Linked DNA regions of Stegostoma tigrinum. The protein of the gene in region 1 purifies or fractionates together with the protein of each later gene. This does not show direct contact. Links are inferred from orthologs where the notes say so. Each region holds a gene or a part of one and is shown in the gene's direction. Other genes may lie near its edges.

Region 1 (10,356 bases):
CTCTCTCCCCCAACAGATGCTGCCAGGCCTGCTGAGCTTCACCAGCAATTTCTGTTTTTGTTTCATGTCTAGACTGTTGGTTTTCTCTCCATAGCCCCTTAAGCATCATATGATCATTGACACAGCTTTCTGTTCACATGCTCAAGAGGTAAACATTTAACCTACATCGCTTTGCTCTCAGTGCGGTCTTACCAACAAGGTCAGTCAGTATATGGCCCCAGCCCACAGACTGGGATTCTCAACTGCAGGGCAATGAGGCAACAATCTCAGCCATAACCAGCAGTGAAATAAAAGGGAGCTCTGGACTGATAACACCTGAAGTAGGGACAGTGAGATGCAGTCAGGCGAAGCTGGGTTGACGACAATAGCAGGGGGAGTAACAGAACAGAGGGAGGAAGTATGGAGAGTTACAGCTGGTGGACAGGGTCAAGTAGTTGCAAAAACACTTTGGAGCTACATATTGTGTGTTGTAATGAAATGAAACTTTCTAAGGTGCTTCACCGGACTATAAAATAAAACAGAATACGACACTGTGATGCGTGAGGAGATATTGGATCCAATGACCAATGGGTGCTGTGTCCAGAGTGGTCTCCCTGTTACAGGAAGGATATTAATAAGCTGGAGAGGGTTCAGAAGAGATATACAAAGATGTTTCTGGGAATAGAGGGTTTGAGCTATAAGGAGAGGCTGGATTATCTGGATTTTTTTTCACTGAGCATTGGAGGTTGAGAAGTGACTCTTATAAGGGTTTATAAAATCATGAGGGATATAGATAAGGTGAATGGCAGGTGTCTTTTCCCCAGAGTGGGCCATTTAAAGCGGGATATTTTTTAAGGGGAGAGGAGAAAGATTTAAAAAAGACGAGGGCAATTTTTTTACACAGCATGGTTTGTGTGTGGAATAAACTTCCAGAAGGAGTGGTGGGTGCCGTTACAGCTACCAGATTTGAAAGCCATTTGATTAAGTACATGAACGAGAAATGGTTGGAGGGATATGGATCAACTGCAGACAAGTGGAGCTTCTATAGTTTGGGATTATGGTTGGCATGGATGAGTTGGACCTAAGGGTCTGTTTCTGTGCTGTATGATTCTATGACTCTATGACCAACCACTTACCAAAGAGGTATGTTTTCAGAAGTTTTGTAAAGGAGGGAAGAAAGTTGGAGAGACAGAGAGTGGTAAAGAGGCCAGGATTAGAGGAGATTACAGAATTTGGGAGAGGAGTGACCACATCAGGAGGGTAGTTACCACTGAGGTAACTGTAAATGAGCCTGGTTCCTCTGTTGAAAATTCAAATGTTTTGGCTTAGGATCCAAAAAGCCTCCAGATGCCAGAATTCTGAAATGAGAAAGAAAATTCTAGAGAAACATCACAGTTTATTCTAACGAACTTCAACCCCTGAAACGTGAACTTTATTCTCTCCCTTACGCTGACTGATCTATTGAGCTCTTCCATCTTTTGAGGGAGCTTTACTTTTCCTTGGGTTTCATTGCAAAATATGGAGGTGGTAAAATAATGAGCTTGACATTAATTCAAGAATTCACAATTTCTCATTGGAGGGAATTGCTGCAACTTTCAGATGTTTCAATGTGGGGCTATTAGTTACGTACAATCTGCTATTTACTGCAATGATGAGCTGCAATGTTCAACCATCATATACAGAAAGTGTACTTGGCTGTACATTCAAACTGCTTTGTTCAAATCACATGTGGTACAGTACATATTATGGATAACATCATATTCCTCAGTTTTGGGGACTGGAAGTTGAGAGTTGGGCACTGCTGGGCACTGAGTGGTGGGCACTAACTGACTGTCCTATTTTAATGCCAGTGACATCACCACATTTCATTTAATAAAGGATTAGGAATTGGAGAAGGCTATTTGGCCCTTCAAATGTGCTCCAACGTTAAGTAAGATTGTGATTCCTTGAAAGACCACTACAGTTAGTTTCTTTTTCTTCTTATTTCTCCAACGACTTGCTCAACATGTGGCTATTATCAAACAGCTACCCAGGAACTCTCAACTATATTATCCTAACCATCCTATCAGTGGGAACATCCATTGTTGTCAGGAATCAGTCATTAGGGCAGATTGATTGAGCATTTGATTACTAAGATGGCTTTGCTCTGTTGAGGGTAAAACATGGAATGAGCAACATGATCGGTAGAAGAGGGAATATAGGAACTCGACACAGGAGCAGGAGACCTTTTCAGCCTGCTCCACCATTCAGTTAAGGTCAAGGCTAATCTGGTTGCGGCCCCAACTACTCTTTCCCATCTGACCCCTTTCCCAATAACTCTCCCCTCTCTTGTCTATGAGAAATCTGTGTTGAATGAATTTAATGGCCTAACCTCCACTGCTCTCTAGGGAACAGAATTTCCTACCTGTACATTGCATTCCCGTTGTAGTAAATATCAATCATCTAATTGTATGTCTAATCACTTGCAGCAGTTGCATATTAACATCAAGAGCTTCATGTACCAGGATATCCACATCCTTCTGTATCACCAAGTTTTGCAACCCCTATATCCATTTATATACTATATTTCTTATCTAATCTTCCTGCTAAGGTGAACAACTTCACATTTTCCCAGGTAAGACTCCATCTGCCAAATTTCTGTCCACTCACAAAACCTGTTGATTTACCCTCCTATATTTCACCCCCGACACCTCATGTTTAAATTCCCCCCAGAGCATTCTTACAAGGCAGGGCTGGCAACTGTGGTGATGAATCATTTCAAATCATTTGCAATTCCTCAGAGGATCCTTCCACTCTGCAGAGTAAAAGCTGTCTCACACCTATCTCAGCGGCACCCACCTCTCCCAGCAGGGTTGCCAGTGCAGTGTACAGCCTCCCTGCCATCTTTCATCAGGTGATCTATCTCCTAATCAGTATCCTAATTGCTCACCCTCCCTAATATTGCCTCAGACGACACCAAGTTGGCACTGATTTTAGCCAATACCTCTGAAAGTTGTTACTGATGGGAGGAGCTCTCCTCTGAATTTCTTTAAAGCAGTCTGTGATTCAAAATATCCCTATGCAGAAATGCAACTTATATCTTCCAGGTACTGTTTGACCCTAAAAGTCACCCACAAACCTGCCTGAACCACAGACAATCAACATCACTATCCTCACCTCAAACAGTAAAAAGATAATGTAGCAATCCACAGCACAGCAGTGAAGTATCCAACAATGATTACAATTAAGAGATAACAAGGTGTAGAGCTGGATGATTACAGCAGGCCAAGCAGCATCAGAGGAGCAGGAAGGCTGACGTTTCCGGCCTAGACCCTTCTTCAGAAATGAGGGAGGGGAAGGGGATTCTGAAATAAATAGGGAGACCGGGGGAGTTGGATAGAAGATGGATAGAGGAGAAGATAGGTGGAGAGGAGACAGACAGGTCAAAAAGGCAGGGATGGAGCCAGTAAAGGTGAGTGTAGGTGGGGAGGTAGAGAGGAGATAAGTCAGTCCAGGGAGGACGGACAGATCAAGGGGATGGGGAAGTTAGTAGATAGGAGGTGGGGTGGAGCTTGAGGTGGGAGGATAGGACAGGTTGGGGAGGCAGGGATGAACTGGGCTGGTTTAGGAATGCAGTAGGGGAAGGGGAGATTTTGAAGCTTGTGAAGTCCACATTGATAACGCTGGGCTGCAGCATTCCCAAGCAAAATATGAGGTGCTATTCCTGACCTTGTGTGAGTGTGCGTGTGTGTAAATAGTTTTGGTTTCAGTTCTGTGAATGTGACTTTTTTTAAAAAGGTCAGAAAGTCATTTTTAAACAGGAAATTAAAATGTAACTTTCAAGATGTATAGGGTTTAAGTTGCGTAACCAGCAAGTTATCGGCAGAGCAAATGGAAACTTTTATGACTACTGAAAGGCAGGTGGACATAGGCTAGAATCAGATTTGAGTTCACAAGTTTAGCTTCATATCTGCAGAAGAGAATGTTCATTTGCGAAGTCTCCAAGCTGTAGGAGTTTATACAAACGTTTTAAGCTGTCCGAATTTTAAAGAGTTCAGGCCATCAGGAAGAATTCAGTTGAGTAAGAAATCTTAAAGTGATGGCAGATGTGCAACTTCATTGGAACTGAGTGAAAGGGGAAGAGGGATGTTTAGGTAATGGTTTTTCTAAATTGTCATTTATATTTATAATTTTATTTTGCTTTCACGTAAAATCTTTTTGTGTTAAAAGTACATTGACAGCCTCAAGTGAACATGTTCACGGATTAACCAAAATTCTAACCACAAACATCAAGCACATAGTTTGTGAAAGCAGCATCACAGGTGGACAGAGTGGTGGAGAATGCGTTTAGCATGCTGGCCTTCATCAGTCAACGCACTGAGTATAGGAGTTGGGACGTTATGTTATAGTTGTGTAAGTCATCAGTGAGGCCGCACTTGGAGTATTGTGTACAGTTTTGGTCATTTGTGACAGAAAAGACATAGTTAAATTGAAAAGTGTGCAAAGATTTACGAGAATGTTGCCAGGACTAGTAGGCCTGAATTATACGGAGAGGTTGGCCGGGATAGGATTTTATTCCTTGGAATGTAGGGGAATGAGGGGTGGCCAGGGAGGTGTATAACATCAAGAGGGGCATAGACAGGATGAACGCATGTAGTCTTTTTTCTCAGGGATGGGGAATTGAAAACTAGAGGGCAGAGGTTTAAGGTGAGAGGGGAAAGATTTAGAAAGGACCTGAGGGATGACTTCTTCGCGTAGAGAATGGTGCATATATGGAACAGGCTGCCGGAGAAAGTGATTGAGACAGGTACAAGAGCAGCATTTAAAAAACATCTGGACAGTACATGGATGAGAAGGGTTTAGAGGGATATGGACTAAATGTGGCAACTGGAACCACCTGAGTGGGTACATGGTCAGCATGGACAAGTTTGGGCTGAAGGGCCTGTTTCTGGGCTGTATTACTCTATGACTCTATTCAAGAATAAAATTTATGATCTATCAAGCCAGGTTTCACTGGGCCCTGACTTGAACAATATGGCCAACAGCTGGGGTCAGTACCTGACAACTAATAAACTAAAAAAATTAAATATTTGAAATGGAACTTAATGTGAAGACGCATTCCTTTTTAAAATCATTTATAGTACAGTTCAGCATTTCACATTACTATTTCTCACAAGCAAATCTTTGCTTAATTTAGTTATAGTTTAACACATGCTCTCAGGAATAGGCATCTCTTGAAAGGTGTGACATTGTTGCATGTTTAATTAGATCAGTGGGTGCAACAGATTGAGGGATAAATATATACGGAGCAGTTGTGTAATTATTGAGCAGAAATCAGTTCTTATAATGCAGTGGTAGTGTCTCTACCTCTGAGCCAGGAAATCTCAGTTTAAGCCTCCCTGGATCAGCAGCGTATCATAATATCTCTGAACAGTTTGATTAATAATAACGCTCGTAGTTAACAGAAACCTTGATTCTGGAAGAGGTACCTGACTCCACCTCCTGGTTAAATGTCCTTACTGCAATTATACAGAACACATAGGAAGATCACACTCGGGAGTACAGTGTGATGAGGAAGAATTTCTTCACTCAGGAGGGCTGGTTCGATGGAATTCTGTGCCCCAGAGACCTGTGGAAGCTCCGAAGAAATTCCTCATCTCAGTCCTGAGACTGTGACCTTACATTATTAACTTCCCAGGCAAGGAAAACATTTTCTCAATATCTATCCTTGAGAAGACACTTAATATTTCAATGAGATCACCTGTCATTCTTCTACACTCTAGCAAATGTATGCCTTCTCTATTCATAGGCCAATCAGCCTGGTGAATCTTCATTGCAATGCCTTGAGGTTAAGGTATGTCTAAAACAGAAGTCCACAGATTTTTGGACTCTAATCAAGGGGAAAGCGTGGGAAGGCTGAGTTGAGTGAGCTGATCAGCAATTACCCCTTTGAATGATGCAGCAGGTTCAAAGGACCAAACAGACGAGACTAGCAACAATTTGTTAAGTTCTGAATAACTGACATCAAAAACATCAGTGAGACAATCGTGTGAGTGAGTGAGTTTACATAGTGATTGAGGCAGTTAGTACAGAAGAGTTAATCATCAATTGCTAAAACCAGTGTAGCAGGAATTGACCTGATTCCCCTATTGTCAACATCCTGGGAATTATCATTAACCAGAAAATCAACTGGACTTGCCACATAAACACAGTGGCTACAACAGAAGACCAGAAGACTGCAACACGAGCTGTGAGCAGCAGGCCCGAGACTTAATCCCCTGGTCCAGGCGAGCAGGCTGAGCTGAGGTCAGTGGCTAGGCCTCAGCACTTGATGGGGGTAGCTGCAACAAGTTTGGTCCCAGCGCGGGACCCAGCTGTGCTGGCCGGAGCTGCATCAGCGATGTTGGCCCAGTGTGAGCACACGGAGGTGCTGGGTTAGTGGAGGCGAGTTGGCGAGGAGAGTGACAGCTCTTTGTCCCCGGGGAGGCAGCGGCCAAGCACACAGTTTCTGCAGCGTTTAGCAGCATAGAGTCGAGGCATCAGGGTGGAGGAGCCTGGATCCAGGCCTATGGCTGAGCTGGAAGCAGGAGATGAAAAGGCCGCCTTACTTTATTGAGATGAGACTATAAGATGAACTTTATTGTTTTACTTTTCTGGCATTATATTCTGTTTTTCAGTTTATTTTCGGTGTTTTAAGATGGTGCTGGATAGTGGCAACTTCTCACTGTATTTGCAATAAATTCACACGACAACAAATTAAAACGAACACGTAACTCACCTCCTGATGCCTCAAAGCCTTTCCACCATCTACATGGCACAAGTCAGCAGCGTGATGGAATACTCCCCACTTGCCTGGATGACTACAGCTCCAACAACACTCAGGAAGCTTGACACCAGCCAGGACAAAGCAGCCCATTTAATTGGCACTGCCTTCACAAGCATCCATTCCCTCCACCTCTGATGCTTAGTAGCTGCAGTAAGTACCATTGACAAGATGCACAACAGATGATCAGCATGGAGCCTTAGACAGCAAACCCTCAACCAATTCCATCTAGAAAGAAGAGGGCAACAGATACATGGGAACACCACCAGCTGCAAGTTTCCTCCAAGTCACTTGCCTTCTTGAAATGGAAATACATCTCTGTTCATTCATTGTGTCAAAATCCTGGAATTCCCTTCCTAAGGGCATTACGGGCCTACCATGGACTCCAGAGGTTCAGAGAAGGCAGCACACCACCATCATCTGAAGGGAAATTAGGGATGGGCAATTGATGTTGACCCAGTGAGTGTTACCTACATTCCATGTGTGAATTTTAAAAAAAAATCAGTCCAGAGATCAGAATAGCAGCAACTTCAATATGTGAAATTAACACTTTATACATATTCTCATTCACGTTTGTACTGAAATCAGTAAGTGGGCGTACAGGTTCCATCTGATGCAGTTTAAGATGGTACTGCAGATCCTTTGCAAGACTGGATCTCAGGTTAAATTTTAACCAAAGCTATCAGGCAATATCTTCATTAAAGTGAAGGTTTAGTCAGTGGTACAGCAGCATGCAAGGTCAGAAAAGCAGGTTGGTTTATAAATGATTTGTGAATAATATTGTCTCAGCATTCTTGAACATAGATATAAAGCTTCAATAATTTTTAACTCGGTCTAAAGGAACTCTGTAGCAATTAATATACTGTCAGAGTGAAGGAGCTCAGTTGTCAGCACTGGTCCATTTTTGTTCTGTACAAACAGCAAATGAAGCATGATTCTCCAAACCTGTAAAATCAGAGCAAAGGCACAAATCTTACATATCAGTGCAATACGTACTTACAAAATAGAAATCCTTTAGTACAGAAAGCTAAACATGGTCCTGATAAGTAGAAGGTGGAGGGAGTTGGAACCCAGAATGTGGAATTTGCTGCTGTAGCATAAGTTTGAGGTGAATAGCATAGATGCAGATAAAGGGATACCACAGAACCAGAGTGGAAAGAAATGGGGGAATAGATGAATGTAGTGAGGCTAGAGTAGGGTGAGGGGCTGCAGTGATGGTGCAGTACAAGCTGCACCTACACCAAAATAGGGTATGTTTGTGACACAGCAGTGATTGTCACTGGAGTGTAAGTCACATGCCAGCTTAATGCTCTGGGGATGCTGGCTCATATAAACTATGGCAGCTGGCGGAATTTGAATTCAATAAATTAATCTAGAATTGAAAGCTCATCTCAGTCAGCAATGGCGACCATAAAGCTATCATCAATTGTTGTAAAAACCCATCTGTTTCATGAATGGCCAATAGAGAAGAAGTGAACGTGGTCTCGCCTCCATGCAACTCCTGGCCCACAAAAACATGGTCTTAATTATCCTCAGTTCAATAGCAGTTATGGAGGGCTATCAAACTCAAGCGATGCCCGTGTAAAGATCAAAGACTGATGTGGAGGCACTGGTGTTGGACTGGGATAGACAAGGTCAGGAGCCACACTACACCAGGTTATAGTCCAACAGGTTTATTTGAAATCACAAGCTTTCAAAGCACTGCTCCTTTGTCACGAGATAAGGGAGCAGAGCTCTGAAAGCTTGCGATTTCAAATAAACCTGTTGGACTATAACCTGGTGTTGCTTGACTTCAGATCAAAGAGTGGCTTAGCTCTGTAATGGTAACTCAATGAAATTCTGGACCAACAGTAAAACAATCCCACTCTCTGCAAGGAGTCTGCTGGGGTCAACAATGTGACTGAAAGAAGCTCAATTCTCAGTCTCAAAATGAGCAAAAATATGCGTGTTCCACCTTTGAGCACTTGGGTCTCCTGAAACACAGACAACCAATTACACACACCAGCCTGCTCAATGATGTAAATTAAAAATTAAAGTTGCACAAAACAACTCAGATAAATTTCACTTACTTTTGTTTTATTTTATTCAGTCACGGGATGAGGGCGTCGCTGATCAGGGCAGCATTTATGGCCCATCACTAATTGCCCAGAGGGCAGTTAAGAGTCAACCACATTGCTGTGGATCTGGAGTCACATGTAAGCCAGACCAGGTAAGGAGGGCAGTTTCCTTCCCTAAAGGACATTAGTGAATCAGATGGGTCTTTCCTGGCAATTGACAATGGATTCATCACCAACAGGCTCTTAATTACAGATATTTATTGAATTCAAATTCCACCATCTGTTGTGGCAGGATTCAAACCTGGGTCCCCAGAATATTAAATCGGTCTCTGAATTAACCGTCCAATGATAAAACCACCAGGCCACTGCTTCCCCTAACTTATTTTTGTTGAATGACAGTGCAGTGCTCCCTCAGTACCTAACAATGCAGCACTGATCCAATACCAGAGCAAACTTGCTCAGTATTGATCCTCTGACCGTGCTGCACTCCCTCAGTACTGACCCTCCAATGGTGGGCCACTCTTTCGGTTCTGACCCTCCAACAACGTGGTGCTCCCTCAGTACTGACCCTCTGACAGTGCAGCACTCCCTCAGTACTGACCCTCTGACAGTGCAGCGCTCCCTCAGCACTGACCCTCCGACAGTGCAGTGCTCCCTCAGTACTGACCCTCTGACAGTGCAGCACTCCCTCAGCACTGACCCTCTGACAGTGCAGCGCTCCCTCAGTACTGACCCTCTGACAGTGCTGCACTCCCTCAGTACTGACCCTCTGACAGTGCAGCACTCCCTCAGCACTGACCATCTGACAGTGCAGCACTCCCTCAGTACTGACCCTCTGACAGTGCAGCACTCCCTCAGTACTGACCCTCTGACAGTGCTGCACTCCCTCAGTACTGACCCTCTGACAGTGCAGCACTCCCTCAGTACTGACCCTCTGACAGTGCAGCACTCCCTCAGTACTGACCCACTGACAGTGCAGCGCTCCCTCAGTACTGACCCTCTGACAGTGCGGTGCTCCCTCAGTACTGACCCTCTGACAGTGCAGCGCTCCCTCCGTACTGACCCTCTGACACTGTAGCACTCCCTCAGTACTGACCCTCTGACAGTGCAGCGCTCCCTCAGTACTGACCCTCAGACAGTGCAGCGCTCCCTCAGTACTGACCCTCTGACAGTACAGCGCTCCCTCAGTACTGACCCTCTGACAGTGCAGCACTCCCTCAGTACTGACCCTCTGACACTGCAGCACTCCCTCAGTACTGACCCTCTGACAGTGCAGCACTCCCTCAGTACTGACCCTCTGACAGTGCAGCGCTCCCTCAGTACTGACCCTCTGACAGTGCAGCGCTCCCTCAGTACTGACCCTCTGACAGTACAGCGCTCCCTCAGCACTGACCCTCTGACAGTGCAGCACTCCCTCAGTACTGACCCTCTGACAGTGCAGCGCTCCCTCAGTACTGACCCTCTGACAGTGCAGCGCTCCCTCAGTACTGACCCTCTGACAGTACAGCGCTCCCTCAG
Region 2 (9,963 bases), on another chromosome or scaffold:
CACACACCTAACAGATCTCTGTTCAGCTATCCACTTGTGCTTTCACCACTCCCTAGGCTAGTTGCATTGGAACCATGGCCCACTCCCTGAACTGTAAAGGAATGTATCCCGACTGACCACTCAGATGGTCAACTGACCACGTCCAAGCTCATGGTCGTATAGCAGAGATGGGCTTTGACTTACCATGCTGAGGCCTCCTCATTTAAGGACTTTGATTTGACTGAGGACTACTCCTCTTTCAGTTTAAGACTGAGCAATTTCCTTGAAGCACACATACTGTTTGATACGTTTGCAGCTAGCATATGTTACTGTTGAGAGTTTGACGTAGCACGGGTGACAGCCAACATATCATTCACCTAGACTGCTCACTGCTTGTGTCAAAAAGCAAGGTAGGACAGAATATCAATGAGCATTTAGGCCCTGAAGGTGAAAATGACAAAAAGGCAAGGCAACAGTGCTGCGAGCTTCGAATTGGGTGTGAAATGAGCGAGCACTAAGAAATTGAGGAAGTATCTCTGTGACGTACTCGTTAAATCCATGAGGTGGGTGCCCATACTTCAACACATAGTGTCATTGAAGATGTGTTACAATGAGAGGTGCTGGTGTGCTCTAAAGTATAGCACTGAAGTGTAGAATTATATTCTAAGTGCATGGGAGATGTGCCATGATGATGTGGTGAGGCTGGTACATTTTGGATGCCAAGGTCTGTGCTCGTGGACCATGTGCAATCACTGTTCATGAAGTATGTCTTGAGATACTGGCGACTGGTGTCCAAGATGGAGGTCTGGAAGAACAAGCTGCAAGCTTAAATCACTAGGTCATATTTTCATGTTGGGAATTCTCATCGACTAGTTTCTACTTGGCAGACGGGAGAATGGAAAACTAAATATTAATGAAATGAAATTAAGTAATAAAAAGATGTTAATGCAAGCAAATGAGCCTCTCGCTGCTCATTAGTGAGACTTTGTCGCACTATTTAACACCTATCCGCTAAAAATCGAGCAGAAGATTCTACAGTAAACCAGGAGGAAGTTCTCCTAATTCATCTTTCAACCAACACCACAAACAAGGAACTGCTAATTAACTTACTTCCTTTGCAACTTTACTCTGCATAATTTTCTTGCTGTATTTATCTACTCTGACAGTGAAAGAATTTGCACTTATAGCAGACAGACACATCTTCAGAATGGCTGAAAGTATCTTGTAGCTCATTCATTATTCGGGAAGTATAGTCTGTTTGATCATAGGAACTTACAACACAGAAGGAAGCCATTTGGCCTGTCCTTGAAAGAGCAGACATTTTTAAACCCCCATGTTTTTTTTAAAATCCCATAACCCTTATTTATCCTCTAGTATGGTTATATTTATATTTATTTATGAATCAGCTTCCATCACCTGCGGAGGTAGAGCATTCCAGACACTGAAAACTAAAAGAAAAATCCACATCTTCGCTCTTCTTACCGCAATAACTTTAAATCTATTACCTCCAATTGTTGAGTCTAGAGAGTTTTGTCTCTATCAAAATAACTGATCATCCAGAAAACCTCAGCCTCATCCCACACCCTTGACCTGTCCCTCCTCCCTGGACTGACCTCCCTAACTCCCCACCTATGCTCACCTTTACTGGCTCCATCCCTACCTCTTTGACCTGTCTGTCTCCTCTCCACCTATCTTCCCCCTCCATGCACCTCTCCCTCTCTCCCTATTTATTTCAGAACCCCGTTCCCTCCCCCATTTCTGAAAAACGGACTAGGCCTGAAACGTCAGCTTCGTTGCTCCTCTGATGCTGCTTGGCCTGCTGTGTTCATCCAGCTCTAATCTTGTTATCTCAGATTCTCCAGCATCTGCAGTTCTTACTATCTTTGAAATATATATTTGGGGTTTTTGCTGTTGAAGAATAAACATTGATCACTACATTTGGGAACACAACTATGTTTTCTTTTACCATGAGCTATTTTAGCTCCAGCTGAAAGATCTCACTCGAAAATGAACATTTCCAATCATGTGATGATCATTTAATAGCGCACTGAATTGTCAGTCTAGAAAATGAAAATGTGGCATTTAAAGTTGCCACTTAAGAGGTTATGCCACAGCTGTACAAAACTCTGGTGCGGCTGCACTTGGAGTATTGTGTACAGTTCTGGTCACCGCATTATAAGAAGGATGTGGAAGCTTTGGAAAGGGTGCAGAGGAGATTTACTAGGATGTTGCCTGGTATGGAGGGAAGGTCTTACGAGGAAACGCTGAGGCACTTGAGGCTGTTTTCATTAGAGAGAAGAAGGTTCAGAGGTGACTTAATTGAAACATATAAAATAATCAGAGAGTTAGATAGGGTGGATAGGGAAAGCCGTTTTCCTAGGATGGTGACAGCGAGCACGAGGGGGCATAGCTTTAAATTGAGTGGTGAAAGATATAGGACAGATATCAGAGGTAGTTTCTTTACTCAGAGAGTAGTAAGGGAATGGAACGCTTTGCCTGCAACAGTAGTAGATTTGCCAACTTTAGGTACATTTAAGCCGTCATTGGATAAGCATATGGATGTACATGGAATAGTGTAGGTTAGATGGGCTTCAGATTGGTATGACACGTCGGCACAACATCGAGGGCCGAAGGGCCTGTACTGTGCTGTAATGTTCTATGTTCCTTACTTGCAGATCAGAATGTTATCATTCAGCCAAACAGGCACTTGTTTGCCCAAAGTAATTGTTTGTACTTCTTTAGGATTTTTAGGGTAAATTTCTTTGGGCCAGCAAAGCATTCCAAAGGAGAAAGCCAGGGGCTATGGGGTTAATTTATGCCAGTGCAAAATACTGCTGCAGCTGGGAACCTGATACAGAAATACAAAATGCACAAAATACTGAGGAGTCGAGAAATCTGCGGGCATTTTGCATTGAAAAGCTTTAATCGGAATTTGTGAATTAGCTTCTAATTGCTCAGTAAAGTAGTGCCACAGACACATCTGTGTTTTAAACATCTTTAGTCCAAATACATGTAAACCATTTTCATCTTTATACAATATTACAAGGAATGCAATAAAAATGTAATAATCGTTGGTCTATAAATACATGTCAAATGAACTATAGTGTATGGGAAAGGTAATGAACATTATATTGATTTCAGATTTCCTGGATATAAAAGGAATCTGGCAAGTAAATGTCTGTATTCCTAAAATTAAAAGATTTGCTTTTCCACTTTCCTTTCAAATTGATGGATGCTTCAAATCCTGGGCAGTTTAAAATTGGCTCAGTGGCAGGACACACAGGGTGCTGATTGAAGGTTGTTCTTACAACTGAATGTCTCGTCCAGTGACATACCACAGGTTAGTTTGCATTAATGATTTAGTCATGGATGTTGGTGATTTAATCAGTTTGTAGGTAACAAAAAAAAACAAGTGTTGTAAACAGTGAGGACAAAAACTTTAGACTGTGGGAAGATATGGTTGGTTTCCTCAAATGGCTAAAAGTTAGAAACTGGGTTTAATGCCAAAAAGCATGTCACATGTATTTTGGGAAGAACAGCAAGGTAAAGGAGTACATGATGAAGTAGGCCTGTGCATGTTCATAGGTCCTTGAAGGCAACAATACAGATGGATAGGATAGTTAAGGCGGCATATGGGATTCTTGCCTTTATTGAGTGAGGTAGTGAATACAAGAACAAGGAGGTTTTGATGGAGCTGTGTCAGATGCAGGTTAGACCATAGCTGGAATTGTATCTCTGGAATCATAGAAATGTATAGCACGGAAACAAATGTATCAGTCTAACTTGTCCACGCCAACCAGATATCCTAAATTAATCTAGTCCCATTTGTCAGCATTTTGCCCATATCCCTCTAAATCCTTCCTATTCTTATATCCATCCAGATGTCTTTTAAATGTCATAATTGTACCAGCCTCCACCATTTCCACCGACAACTCATTCATTTTGCTTGGAGCAGAGAAGGCTGATGCAGGACCTGGTTGAAGTATACAAATTATGGAGGGCACAGGTGGGGTCAATAGGAATATATTTTCCCCCTTAATACAAGAAACACAAATTTAGGGTAAGGGCAGGAGCTTTAAAAGAGATCTAAGCAGAAGATTTTGTCACGCAGAGGGAAATTGAGTATTTGGAACTCTGGCTGAAAGGCGGTGGCCAACATTTAAGATGTGTTTAGATGTACACTTGAAGTGTCACAGCATACAAGGCTACGGACCAAGTGCTGAGAATTAGGACGAAAGTAGACAGGTGCCTGACGAACCTACATCGATACAATGAGCCAAAGGGCGTCCTACTATGCTGTAAAACTCTATGACTGTATTTCCACATATAAATGATAACCGAAGCAAACTTTACCATTTTTAACATCTAAACTAGGATGCAACTCACATTAAGTGTTACAGCGTAGACGGAGACCATTCGATCCATTTTGCCTGCACCAACTCATCAAACAGGCATCATTTTCTTAGTACCAGTCACCTATTTTTACTCCTCTCATACTCTTGCACGTTATTTTTACCCAAGTATTCGTCCAAAACACTACAGGCAGAATTTCTGGCCCAATCCGGTCGTCAAGTCAGAGGCTCGGTGTGTTTTGGACAGTTTGCTATGGAGTTATCTCGGATTAGGATTTAGTCCCACCATCCAGTAAATTTGCTAATTTGGTGGTGGATGAGGATGAGGCACTTACCTTGGCGGTGAGAGAGCACCGAGCTGGCTGTCAGGGTAAAAGCCTCCTCGGGCCCGGTCAGCCACAACAAGAGAACAAGGGCGAGGAAGGCGGCGCTGGCGCTCGGCACCCGGGCCCTGACTCGGGCCACCCCGAGGCCGGCCCGCACCCAGTCGCCGCAGCGTCCCATCCCAACCCCCGGCGGGTCGGAGAAGAAAATGTCTTGATTATTGTCGCCGCGACATCATGATGATGATAATAATAATATCGGGGTGGGTGTGGAGTTCCTCCGAAGACCTTCTTACTCGGTGCCCGATCACCGGCCTCCCTCTTCGTTGGCTCTTTACCGGGGTGGAGACACCCACCACACCCCTGAGATACACCCCACAACAGGACCGAGCATCGCTGACTGGCGTCGAGCAGAGAGGGAGGGAGACTTGAAGGAGTGAAGGGCGGTGTTGTCTTTACTACAGCCACGTTATGGCGGATCTGATTATATTAAAACAAAACCTCCGTGCAAGGTTACGGATTGTATGACAGTGGAGACGGTGCGTTTTATTTCAGCCCGCTTTCAAACCCGTGAGGAAAGACATAATGTCCGCGCGCCCAACGCAATGGAGGAGAGAATCGAAAGAAAAGAGAAGCGGGGATACGAGGTACGCATAGTGATGGTGGCTGAAGCGAAATGGCCGCGTTTCCATCGCGACCGGCCCGGAACCATCAACAAGGCGCTACATTCCCTCCATTGTTCTACCCGAACGGTTTACCGCGTTACGCTGGACGCATCAGTGCGCCGCCTTGTCTTTAAATAGCGCGACGTGGAGGCAGACATTTAAACATAAAGCCTCGGCCGCGAATCGGCGGATAGAGGCCAGCCCCGTTCTTTCGTAATCATCGTTTTTTTTTAAATTTCGTTTTGACAATCCTATGTAAAGCAGAGGGGAAGGGGTCGTCGGCGGTGTCCACCTGTAATATCTGCGTAACAATTTGAGAACTCGGGCGGGATCGTGGCGATTGGAGTCGAGGCCCTTTTTTTTGAATTAAAACATTTCCGGCGCGAGTTGCGCAAGGCGCCAAATTAAGTGGTTGAGTCCGGCGGGGCTCCGCGCAGGCGTGTTTCGCAGGCAGTCAGAGGTCGGTGAAGATGGCGTCGACGGGTAAGAGGGAGTCTCTAACTGTTGGCATCGGATTTAAAGGCGCTCGGGTCGTATGCCCGGTTACCCCACCCACCCCCGGACGATAACGGTTCTTTTCTGCTTTCGACCTCACCACCGGTGTTATTTTATTTTCTGAAAAGGGTTGTTGGTCGCCGGCGATTACATCGAGTTTTTTTTCTTTCTTCTCCCCACACCCCCCCCCCCCCCCCCCACTTAAGATACCATCTAGGAGGCGTTTTTTTTAGAAAAGATTGGAAGAGGGTTTAGGCCTCAGTCCCCGATATCGCGTGTCGGGTGATTTTTTTTTGTTGGTGGTGGGGGGGGGGAGTGGTGAGGGAGGGTGAAGAAAAGGGAGGCTGGTGGATTGGCCGGCCTTGTAGCCGTTGGGGCCTCGGGATGTGTGTGTGTGTGAGAGCGAGAGCGCACCTCCCCCGCAGGAACGTAGCTGCGCCACAAAGCTGCGGGGGTCAACGTGTGAAAGCCGACGACGAAGCCGGGCCCGCTCCGCTAGTGTTGACCGGCTGCCACTGCCGCCACGCTCCCTCGCCCTTGGGAGACTCCGAGGCGGAGTTTTCACCGACGGGGCGGAAGTGTGTCCCTTTCCTGGCGATCCGTTAGCGTCGAGGCCTAGTCGGGGTGGGGAAAGGAGAAGAGGGCGAGGGTCAGCCAGTACAACGTTTCGTAACAAATACTTTGCGTAGAGATTCATCTCCCCAGTCCTCTATACGTATTTTCGAATCTGGTGTGATTAAATTGATTTTTTTTTAAAAACTGCACCATTTGGGATTTTGCAACTTTTGAAAAGTCGGTTCGATTTTTTTTCCACCCCACCAAAATCGCGCAACACTTGCTACGAACCGATCGGCTCTTTATATCGGCGTGGCTCATTTTACATTTTTAAAGAATGTTTTTAACTGTTGGCACTGTGCCAAAATGGAGTCGCGCATAGGATCTGAAATTTCTTTTTGTTTGACGGTACTGTGGGGACCGCGTGTGACTTAGTTCAAATTGATTCTGTAACTTTTGGATGCAGCAAGGTTTAATTTTTGGGTTCATATACGTTACCCTCTGGTAGCGTACCAAAGGTTAATCGTGAACTCTCTAATGTCCTAATGATTTTAGTGGGAACTCAACATTTGCATGTTTCCGGTTAAAGAACATGGGGTGACTTTCGTCGTCCTCTTCAATATCTTTTACTGGTATTGAAAATCGCTGGCCATTGTGTGACTTTTTCTTTTTTTTAATAAATTTGAAGTCTTGACTGTGGTATATTTTTACATTCATATCCGGGATTTGGTATTAAAAAAAGTCAAGTTTGTACGTTCACTGCTGAATAAAGCCTACATAAAACAATTCAAACGTTTAGCCCAGTAATGCTCCTAAAATTACTTACACCTCGCATCCTAAAAATTGAGCCTTTTGATTCTTTGTGTCGTTTGTTGAGACCTGCTAATTTAAACTTTTAAGGGTCAGTCTCCTGTCATCTGTGGCATTGACCATGGGTGTCTAGTGTTCATCAATAAACTGGGAAGGGCTGCAGTGGAGAACGAGGAAGCCTTTATTATCGATAGTTATTCTACTTGGGACTTGGGTACAGAATTGAGGGTTCTTATGGGAAAGGAAAAATAGACTTTAAGCTGTTACTGAAATTGGTTATTAGTTTAAACTGACCTTTAAACTATTTTGGTTGTAATCATTCAATGAATGCAGGATTGACCGAATTAGAGCTTTACTGGACCTGTGGATGGCAGCTTCTCATCCTAGAAGTCAAAATTAGAAAAACCTCAGTAAAAGCTACATATGTTGTGTCCACAGTTAACCAGGTTTCTGGAGTGGGCCCAAAACTAAATGAGATGTATAACTGTGGTTGGTTGGAGGCATAAATTTTCTTTGAAAAGCTGTCTATACTAATATTTCAACAGGTGAAAGTTGAGGAAGGGGAAAGGATTCTATAGGCTTCATAAGACATGGGAGTGGAAGTAAAGCGATTCGGCCCATCGAGTCCATTCTGCCATTTAATCATGTCTGGGCGTTTCAACTCCACTTCCCTGCACTCACCCTGTAGCCCTTAATTCCTTTGTGAGATCAAGAATTTATCGATCTCTGCCTTGAAGACATTTAACGTCCCGGCCTCCAGTGCACTCGGTGGCAGTGAATTCCACATGCCCACCACTTTCTGGCTGAAGAAATGTCTCCTCATTGCTGTTTTAAATCTACCCCCTCTAATTCTAAGGCTGTGCCCACAGGTGCTCGTCTCCCCGCCTAACGGAAACAACTTCCCAGCATCCATCCTTTCTAAGCCATACATTATCTTGAGTTTCTATTAGATCTCCCCTCAACCTTCTAAACTCTAATGAATACAATCCCAGGATCCTCAGCCATTCATTGTATGTTAAACCTACCTAATAATTAATAGTTGCATCTCATTTCAAATATATTCATTGGTAAAGGAGTAAGGAGAGGATTTTGATACATGTAAGTTTCTATGCTTACGAGCTTTTGTGTGTCTTGGATGTAGGAGGAATTGCTAACAAGTACAAATGCAGCAATACAGTTTTGGAAGTTGATTTGGGGCTTAAATTCTTAATCAAAGCAATGTTGCAATATACATATACAATGGGTTTTTATGCTGACTTTTTTCTCTTGTAACATTCAAATGCATACAAATGTGCACACCATGGATTTGATGTGAAAATGATGTACAAAGGCTTCCCATACTCTGCAAATGTATAATTGAGCAATTCTGGTGAATGAAAATTGACGAGTAGTTTACAGCTTTTGGCTTGAAATTTCAAACTTAGCAAATGTAGGTCACTTAAAATGGCTAAGGGAATCAGACAAGCAATGTTTGGGATAAACAACTGAATAACAACATAACTTGGGGCGGCATGGTGGCTCAGTGAGGTACTGGTGCCTCACAGCACCAGGGAACCAGGTTCAGTCCCTCCCTCAGGTGACTGTCCGTGTGGAGTTTGCCCGTTTTGCCCGTTCTCCCCATGTCTGTGTGGGTTTTCTCCCACAGTCCAGAGATATGCAGGCTAGGTGGATTGGCCATACTAAATTGACTGTAGTGACCAGGGATGTATAGATTAGGTGGGTTACAGTGGGATAGGTCTGGGTGGAATGCTGTGAGGTTCGGTGTGGACTTGTTGGGCTAGAGGACCTGTTTCCACGCTAAGGATGCTGTGATCTATACATCTGTAGCTTTGATTTGGAGACCAATATGATGGAAAACAAAGCTAAGGAAACCAGAATTTGAGAGATCTGTATTGTCATATTGGCCTTTTAAGCTTAACCTCTTGACATGGTTATTCACAATTATAACTGTTCCATGATATCATCTCTGGCCCCAATGCAGCTTTGTCTTGTGTGTTGGCAGCTGTATTCAGTCATTCTGACACGATTTTTGTTGAGATTGTTGACTGAATCAAAGTATACCAAAACCCATATAGATGGTCTTACTTCAAAAGTTTTTTGAGGTGTTTTGGTTTCCTTACCCAAATAGTTTCTTCCTTGAAGGGTGAGAAAAAAATATTGCTAAGAATTACAATTGTTCCTGTTCTGTTTCATTGTCTAGAAATGCAGTAAGGGATCCCAACCATGTCAAGATAATTAATGGTATTTTGGTGAATTTTTTTTAGTGAACTGCAAGTAATATTTCATATGGATGTGGTGCAAACATATATTTTACTAGATTTTTATCACTTCTATTTTGTAAAATAAGAAACCTACTTTAAGCAACTTAATATATTTAGTTGAGGAAAAAAATCCTTTCTTTTTATAGATTATAGTACCTACACTCAAGCTGCAGCTCAACAAGGGTAAGTGTGATTATAATCAACATTTGTACAATGTGGATATACATTTCTACTAAGTAAATTTTGAGGGAATTGTTATTTCAGACACTTGCAACCTGCATAATTTACTGTGCCAATATATTTTCCCATTAACAGAAAGTTCATTACTCATTTCCACAAATGAATGTAAACCAGAACACTTGTGAAATTGCTCAGGATGCTCCTCATGTTACTGTGGTGCAGAAAAGTCATTCAGTGATATCTTTGTGTCCTGGTTGAAATTTTCATAAACTGATTTCCATCATGCCATCAGTAGACAGCCACGTTGTCAGCTGTCTGAAGCAGGCCACAGTAAGTGTCGGTA

The links. The genes of interacting proteins can lie anywhere in the genome.
Region 2: the proteins of protein arginine N-methyltransferase 8-like (region 1) and RNA-binding protein EWS-like purify together in Homo sapiens (affinity purification with mass spectrometry; 3 studies listed by BioGRID and IntAct, counting the BioPlex papers as one, with this or other methods). This does not show direct contact. The link is inferred for Stegostoma tigrinum from reciprocal best matches to the Homo sapiens genes PRMT8 and EWSR1.

Annotation. Positions count from the first base shown.
Region 1 is NC_081371.1:47,536,801-47,547,156, reverse strand, and holds the start of protein arginine N-methyltransferase 8-like, read left to right. Parts: upstream 1-6,173; 5' UTR 6,174-7,240; intron 7,241-8,870; 5' UTR 8,871-8,990; intron 8,991-10,356. UniProt on the Homo sapiens protein: S-adenosyl-L-methionine-dependent and membrane-associated arginine methyltransferase that can both catalyze the formation of omega-N monomethylarginine (MMA) and asymmetrical dimethylarginine (aDMA) in proteins such as NIFK, myelin basic protein, histone H4, H2A and H2A/H2B dimer.
Region 2 is NC_081379.1:21,258,032-21,267,994, reverse strand, and holds the start of RNA-binding protein EWS-like, read left to right. Parts: upstream 1-5,458; 5' UTR 5,459-5,789; coding exon 5,790-5,802; intron 5,803-9,586; coding exon 9,587-9,623; intron 9,624-9,963. Other genes in the region: rhbdd3 (rhomboid domain-containing protein 3), read right to left, coding at 4,667-4,835. UniProt on the Homo sapiens protein: Binds to ssRNA containing the consensus sequence 5'-AGGUAA-3'. Might normally function as a transcriptional repressor. EWS-fusion-proteins (EFPS) may play a role in the tumorigenic process.